Linked DNA regions of Cricetulus griseus. The protein of the gene in region 1 binds, or shares a complex with, the protein of each later gene. Links are inferred from orthologs where the notes say so. Each region holds a gene or a part of one and is shown on either strand. Other genes may lie near its edges.

Region 1 (3,577 bases):
TACACTGATCTTCCTCCTAATTCCAAATCTTCTATTTCCACAAGCATTAAAGCCTTTTTTCCAATGTTCCTTGCTTGATGTTTTCCCCATCAATCTGGCTACATTTAACTTAGTTTCTAGAAGCAAAAGATTGACCCAACCAACCACAGGGGCCACACACGCATCATGGGCTGTACAAGCGTAATTTCAGTCATTTGCACCCGAGTGAAGTGACAACTGTCAACTACCATAGTACTCATTTTATCAGAGTAAAGGCCAAATATATTAAGATAGGTTAAGTTTAATTAAAATATATTCCCATTGGGCCCACAGATCATTCTGTGGTAATAACTGAAATAGAGATGTTATATAAACATAAACACAAGTACAACTTGAAGGACAGATATAAGCCCTAAAGTGGGTAGCCTACGCACACACAAAAATAAGTCAAGAAAAGTAGTTTAAGATCTAATGTTGGAGAAAAACTTACCTTGGACCAATTTGGCCTCCGGAGCTGCACCTCTGGCTTATAAACTTTTTTAGGTGTTAATCCAAATGGCAGAACGGGGACTGCAGGAACCCCAAATCCAAAGGGGGGAGGTGGAGGCATGCCCATTCCAGGTGGAGGTGGAGGTGGAGGCATGCCAGGGCCTCCAGGCAAAGGGGGAGGTGGGGGAGGCAGTCCCGGTCCTCCTGGCAAGGGAGGAGGTGGGGGGGGCCCGGGAATCCCAGCGGAAGGAGGGAGAGCTGGTACACTAGCACTGCCAGGCAAGGGAGGAGGAGGGGGGATAACACAACCTCCAGGCAGAGGAGGGGGAGGGGGGATAACACAACCCCCAGGCAGAGGCGGCGGCGGGGGAATAGCAGTACTGCCAGGCAGAGGAGGGGGAGGGGGTACAGAAGCACCCCCAGGCACAGGAGGAGGCGGGGAGATGGCAGCGACCCCAGGCAGAGGAGGGGCAGGAGGTGGAAAGGTACCTCCAGGAAGAGGAGGTGGGGGTGGGGGTGGTGGAATAACAGTGCCAGGGCCGCCAGGCAGAGGAGGGGCAGGGGGAACAGCAGCACTGCTAGAAACAACCACAGCAGAGAGAGAAGCCATTTCCTTCTTGGCATCTTCTAGTTCTTTTGACAGCTTGGCAACCTAAAGAAGCAACACAGAAGAAGCACTTCTCACCCCACTTCAAAGACTACTGGAGCTGAAAAGGACCGAAGAAACCACTTAGTCCAAATTTCTGTTCAACCATAGATGGACTGAGTGACTGATCACACGATTCTTCTTAAAGTCACACTGACACTTAGTAGGAGAGTAAAACTAGACCTCAAGTCTTTGTGTTCTTGGTTTTAGTGTGTTTTGAGTTTGACAATAAAACTGAAGTATGTGCTATGCAGGTATTCCCACAGCTGTGCAAATGATCAAGTTAGCAGTATTACAGTATTACTAAGCATTTGTACCTGCAGAGAAAGGAGAATGAAGGTGTCATAGAAGCATAAACTAAGTTGGATGGGCAAATAAGCCAATAGTTTACTGTTTACTCCCAAATGCATTATTTCTGGATTCTGCCATAAGTAACTTTTACCATTCTTTATTGTTTTCTAAATGTTTTGTCTTATATACTATCCTCCCAAACAAGACTAAAACCAGTAAATGACTGTTACAACACTCAACCATCTACCTGATGATCCAGCTGCTCTTCCCTAGCATAGGGAACCTATGACCAGCACAGCTGAGCTATGGAGGGCAGCTGCAGGCACACCGCTGTCCTGCTCAGACATTACCTCTCCCGTCAGCTTGGACACCTCCACTTCCAGATCTTGTTTTTGTGTAGCAATCTGCTGTTTCTCAGAATCCAATGCATCCTTTTCTCCTTGAAGATCCAGAAGTTTCTGCTCAAAGTCATTTTCCATCTTCTTCATTTCTACTTGTAACTCATGCCGGGCTGTTAACTCAGAGTCCAACTAAAGAAGGAAAAAAAAATAAAAAAAAAAAATCAGGCTTCCAGTGATCTTTCTGTCATCACCTCAGCTGTCAACACAACACAAACCTACAGTCAACTGGGAAGAGGAAACCTCAACTGAAGAATTGCTCATATCAGACTGGCCTACGGTCATGTCTGTTAGCATCTTCCTAACTGCTAACTGATGCAGAAGGGTTCAGTCCACTGTGGGCTGTGACATCCCTAGGCAGGTAGAACTGGGATGTGTAACAAAGATAGCTAGCTGATCAAGCCAATGGTAAGAGGCCTGTAAGCAGCATCCCTTAGTGTCTACTTCAAGATCCCGTCTTTGCTTCCCTTGATGACAGACTATCAATCGGAAGATGAAATACACCCTTTCCTCTCCAAGTTGCTTTAGGTCACAGTGTTGACCACAGCGAAAGCAAACTAGGATACTATTCATCTTAGTTAGGAGCATACGGGCTAGTTCCTATAATTTACTATTGTGTCTCAACACCACTCTATACAGCTTACTGATTCACCTAAGTTAATACTTGGAAAAGAAGAGACCAATATGATCTTGACTTTAACATCAAAGTTAAAGGGGGAGGAGACAAGAGATCATGTTCATAGTCTTCCTAGTCTTATGGCTAGACAACAAAGCCAGCTAATCTCTGAAAGACCTTTAACCATGTCCTGGTTAGTTTTATGTCAACTTGACACAAGCAAGAGTCATCAAAGAGGAGGAGCCTCAATTGAGAAAATGTCCCTATAGATAGACAGTGGTAGGGCAGCACTCAGGAGGCAAAGAAAGGCAGAGTTCGAGGCCAGTCTGGTCCAAAGAGTGAGTTCCAAGACAGCCAAGGCTACAGACAGAAATCCTATCTCAAAAGACCAAAAAAAAAAAAGAAAAAAAAAAAAGAAAAAAAGAAAGGGCCCCTGTAAAATTGGGCTATAGTCAAGCCTGTGGGACATTTTCTTAATTAGTGACTGATGTGGAAGGCTCAGTCCATTTTTAGGCAGGATCACCTCTGTAGGCTGGTGTTTCTGGCTTCTTTTAAGAATGCAGGCTAAGCAAGCCATGTAAGTAGCAAGCCTCATGGCCTCTGCATTAGCTCCTGCCTCCAGATTCCTGTCCTGCATGAGTCCCTGTCCTGGCTGCCTTTGATGATGAACTGTTACATGGAACCGTGAGTGAAACAAACCCTTTCCTCCCTAAGTTGCTTTTGGTCATGGTGTTTCAGTAAAGCAACAGTAACCCTAACTAAGACAAACCAGGACAGCTGCCTTGCCCAATTCCAGCCACAGCAGGAATCCTTAATTACTACAGAGATGAAAGGAATTGAGAAATATTCCAGTTCCTACCACTCCTAGAGTAAGACTTAAGATGCACACTTACACAGAGTATCATCTGTCTTTGCTGACTTGCCTGGTAGCCCAAGAATGTTGTAAGATCTCCTCTAGTTTCTCATTTCATATCAACACCCTCTTTCCCACTAACAAGATTTCCTCACAGGAACTTTAGATTCTGAATGCTTTCAAAATATCACAGACAATTCTGTCTCACAATTCTGTCAAAAAACAATTATCTTCAAAGAAAAATATATACCCCAAGTTTACTTGTGTGTGTGTTTTTCATATAAGCATACTCGGGGATAACATTA
Region 2 (4,260 bases), on another chromosome or scaffold:
CCAAAACCCTCATTTAACTATTTCTCTCTTCTTCAGAAATGTTCCTGGCAGAAGAACTAACCAATGTGATTTTTAATGATGAGCAGTGAATTTATTTCAAATCTAAGCAAACTTGAAAGATCCACAAGACTCATTAGAGACAAAATAACGAGGTGTCTTGAACAGTTTAGCATCATATATACCACAGTATTATGACACTGGGTTGTTTAAGGGGCAACTTTTCATTTTCATTTACTAAAGCTGAAGATGAAGAGTTGACATTAATAATTTAGAGTAAGTCAGGGTGAAAGAGGTGAGGCTTCGAGTGTAAAAACTGTAAAGTAGACAGACTGAAAGCAGTACCTCCCCTTCAGTGCTGAGCAGTTCACAAAAACACCTTCATAGACATTATGAACTAGTTTTTAATTCAGACCATTAAAGAAACTCAAGTGTAATATGGCATGCAACTTTTAGGCACACACACACAAAATAAGAAAGAGCTCACTTACCTCTACCAGCTCTGCCAACAGCAACATTGTATGTTGGCTCCCCACCTTGACTCTTTGTCCGGATATCCATTGTGCAGTCACCATCAACGTATAGACTATCTCTGATCACTGAACACTTCTTTGCACCAAGAGTCAAACCGTTGGTAAAGAAACCTTCCCGGTCTTTTCCTACAATCATATCTATTTCTACTGGCTGGCCACCCAAAACAAAGAAAAAAAAATTGCAGTTAATTCCTTTCAGAGTTTGATACAAGGAACAGTGCTGATGTAAAATCAAGATAACATTTTCTGTTATTGCCTATTCCTACATGATTACACGCTTAACACATTAGTCTGCCTTTGCATTTTAACAGTGAGTTCTGCTAACTAAAAGCTAGTGCAATACCAACCATACAAAGAGTCTCCCTAAATAGTTGGCAGTTGACACTAGGTACAAACTGAAAACGAGTTATTTATAAACTATATCACGTCAGGTGGTGCCTGAAGGTGCTTATGTAATTGTAAAGATTCAGCTATAAGCTCTTCCAACAGCTTGCCTATCATATTCAGCCACATTAGTCATGTTGCAACAAATTTAAAGTTGCAAAAGTCTCCCCAGATAAACCTGCTCACTTCTCTCCTTAGAGCAGCTTGAAATATCCTTGGTAGCATGAATCTCAATCACCAGACTGGCGGACATTTCCAAATTCGTATTTCCCTCCTATTTTCTAGCCACTACTCCTTTCTCTCCAACTTGCCTTGCCCTTTCATTCAGTAATCAGCTTTCTTTCTGTCTCCAGCACTACCGTCGGCGATAGTAAAATTATAGAGAAAATGGAGGGGCACTGGTAAAGAAAGTGAGGTAGCCACCAGAACCGGAAAAGAGAAAACGTGCATTCTAACATTCCATGAATAAGAAGGAAGGCGTCGCCCCCATCAGAACTGCAAAGTCATAGCAGGCCCCAGCCATTTCCAAGCACACTCCCGCAATCTTCTTAGCCAGACAGCGGGAACTCACACACAAAGACAAGACTGCAGGAAAAAAAAAGTTGATCACCGAATGTCAATTCCATATAGGAATTGTAGTCTCCCACACCGGGACAGAAGATCCTAAGGCACTCCTATCAAGGGCTGAATCTACACTAATATGTTAAACCATGTCAAGTAGTAAAATGCTGAGTACCTGTGATATGAAACATGAATTTTGCTGTGTGATAGGAAGAGAGTGGGAGTGTGGGGCTACGAAATTAAGGGAATGGTCTTGTACTTGATACTGGAGTCAACATTTTAAAGAGCCTTACGTAGAAATGGGCATAACAATAAGCAGTACTGGAGGCTGATTGACGAATATCTCCCAAATGTGTGGCAACCAAGTCAAAAGCCATCAAGACACCCGAATATGAAGCAAGGTGAAGCATAAATCCGTATTAGTTCTTTTACTACCATCACTAAAGAGGGAGTGACTTGGAGAAGTGTCACCCCTCCCGCGACTTCCAGATAATTTTTTTTTCTTTTAACCACCCTAAAACCATCCTCTTTTTAGGGCTAGGTTGCGTAACTGGGGATAACGGTATATCGATGAATCTCTATAGGTGGAGAAGAGAAATCAATGGCAGTTCGCCATCTTGGAGGAAAAAAAAAAACTATAGAGCCACAGATGAAGTAGATTCACGATTCCACATACGTGGTCCGCGTACCCTTCTTGCCAGCCCAGGAGGCCTGGGTACAGGCAAGCCTACGCAAAGTCACTCTATTAATTCTAGGGACCTGGCCACCGCTGCCTCCCACAGCCCGCGCTCACCGCCGAGTCGGGGCTAGCCGGCCGCCCAGGACCCCCGCCCACACCCGGGGACCCGCACTGCAGCCCACGGGCCTCCCGGAACGCCGAGGGGCCTCTCGGGGAGACGTCCCCTCCTCCACCCCGGCAGTCGCAAGCCGGGGCGCCGCCGGGGCTAAGAGTCCGGCCGCCCCGCCCCCGCGCGGCCTCGGGCAGCATCCCCAGTCTCAGCGGCCCACATCCAGGGACTCGGCCGCATCCATCCCCTCCCCGAGCCGGCAGCATCCCTTGCTCAAGCCCCGGCCGCATCCGTCCCCTTCCTCGCGGGCGGCGTCCCCTCCTCGGAGGCCCGCCGCACACCTGCAGGCTCGGCGCCCCAGGGCCTCACCGTGATGCTCTGGAAGACGCCCCCGGCCGTGGCTGCCCAGACGTATTTGGCGTCGCAGTAGCCGACAATGGCGGCCTCCTGGCAGCAGCCATCGCACATCAGGTTATCCACGTAGCTCTGCCAACCGGCCATCTTCGAGCCCTTCGCACTGCAGCGGGGACGGCAGGAGCAAAGGCGCAGCGGCGGCGGCGGCGGCGGCGGCGGAGGCGGGGCGGGGGCGGGGAGGAGGCGGCTCTGCGCAGGCACCGACCGCCCCTCTCCGGGAACTGCGGCGGGCGGGGACAGGACCCGCAGCGGGGACGCGGCGGGCGGCCGCGGCCGCGAGGCTCAGGAGCCGGCGGCGGCGGCGGCGGCGGAACGATGCGGGCAGCGGGGCTGGCGACGGCTGACTGTCAATGCGGCTCCCTCCGTTCTCCGGGGCCAGCGGGACGTGAGCGCGCGTGCGTGCGATCCTTCCGCAGCGCGGCCGGCCGGCGAGGGTCTCGGGAAGGGCGGGGGAGCTGAGGCGGGGGCGCGGATGGATACCGCCGGGGACAATCACGGCTGACACGTGCGACAGGAGAGCGGACTAGCCGCTGGCGCTGGCTGGGGCGCGGCTCCGGGGCTTCAGGCCAGGCGAGGCAGCATGAGTGGGTGCCGTGGGGTGCCCCTGGAGCTCCGCACGCGGGTCCACCGTGCGCCCTCCTCCAGCGCTGGCTCTGGATGCGGTATTGACAGCCGCGGTGTCTGGTGGCTGGGTTGCCCTGGTTACGGATGCGGCGGGGTTTACTCTTTGTGGTTGGTGGGAGCGGCCAGTGAGAGTTGCCCATGCTTGGGCAGGAACCTCGGAGAAGATCTCTGCCAGCTGCTCCGCAGCATGCAACTGAAATCAGAGCCGCGGCAGGGGAGCGCGCTCCGTGTTCTTTGTTGCCTCCTTGGGTACCAGGAGTCTGGGGTTCTGTGGAACCTTTGCCCTGAACCCAGTGTTGCTAATCATGCCAGGGCCTCGATCATCCAGAAATTCTAAATGAAACAGACCTGCGTGCACTTGGTAACTGGAAAAGATTCTGTGCGTTGCATACGTCGCTGAAAATACACAGTATCCAAGCTAGGGAAGGTTCTAGAGCAGTGGTTCTCAACCTTCCTGAAGCTGTGACCTTTCAATACAGTTCCTCATGTTGTGGTGACCCCAACCATAAAATTGTTTTCCTTGTTATTTCAGAACTGTGATTTTGCTACTGTTATGCAACCCCAAAGGGGTCATGACCCATAAGTTGAGCACCACTGTCCTAACAGTGAGAAATCATTTCAGAATCCAAATCTGAGAAAGACTTGTATTTAACAGGGTGGAAGATAGTTGAGTCTCTGAACTTCCTCCTACATCTTTATTAGCTTTAGGCGTTGGGTCTAAACCCAGAATAGATGTTCTCCAACAACAAACCTGAGTGACCAGCTTTAAACCACAAACCTGACCTGCCTATTAAGGGAAAGAAAGCCCCCAAACCTTGCACACTATTGTCAATTTAAAGTGTGGAGTACGCTGATAATTTTATAATAACATTGCTGAACTTTTATCTCCCCCCCACCCTACTTTTAAGGATAAAAGTAATGTCTTAGTATTCTGTTGCTGTGAAGAGACACCATGACCA

The links. Proteins that work in one complex are often made in the same cells at the same time.
Region 2: the proteins of Diaph1 (region 1) and Pfn2 are in contact, whole or in part, in a crystal structure (PDB 2V8F), measured with the Mus musculus proteins. The link is inferred for Cricetulus griseus from reciprocal best matches to the Homo sapiens genes DIAPH1 and PFN2. Residues at the interface, in NP_031884.1 of Mus musculus: Ile635, Pro636, Pro637, Pro638, Pro639, Pro640, Leu641; in NP_062283.1 of Mus musculus: Ala2, Gly3, Trp4, Ser6, Tyr7, Asn10, Ala28, Tyr30, Trp32, Arg108, Met131, Tyr134, Leu135, Ser138, Phe140.

Annotation. Positions count from the first base shown.
Region 1 is NC_048595.1:199,753,248-199,756,824, reverse strand, and holds part of Diaph1 (protein diaphanous homolog 1), read right to left. Parts: intron 1,936-3,577; coding exon 1,756-1,935; intron 1,121-1,755; coding exon 470-1,120; intron 1-469. UniProt on the Homo sapiens protein: Actin nucleation and elongation factor required for the assembly of F-actin structures, such as actin cables and stress fibers. Binds to the barbed end of the actin filament and slows down actin polymerization and depolymerization.
Region 2 is NW_023276806.1:93,602,482-93,606,741, reverse strand, and holds the start of Pfn2 (profilin-2), read right to left. Parts: upstream 2,843-4,260; 5' UTR 2,765-2,842; coding exon 2,633-2,764; intron 682-2,632; coding exon 489-681; intron 1-488. UniProt on the Homo sapiens protein: Binds to actin and affects the structure of the cytoskeleton. At high concentrations, profilin prevents the polymerization of actin, whereas it enhances it at low concentrations. By binding to PIP2, it inhibits the formation of IP3 and DG.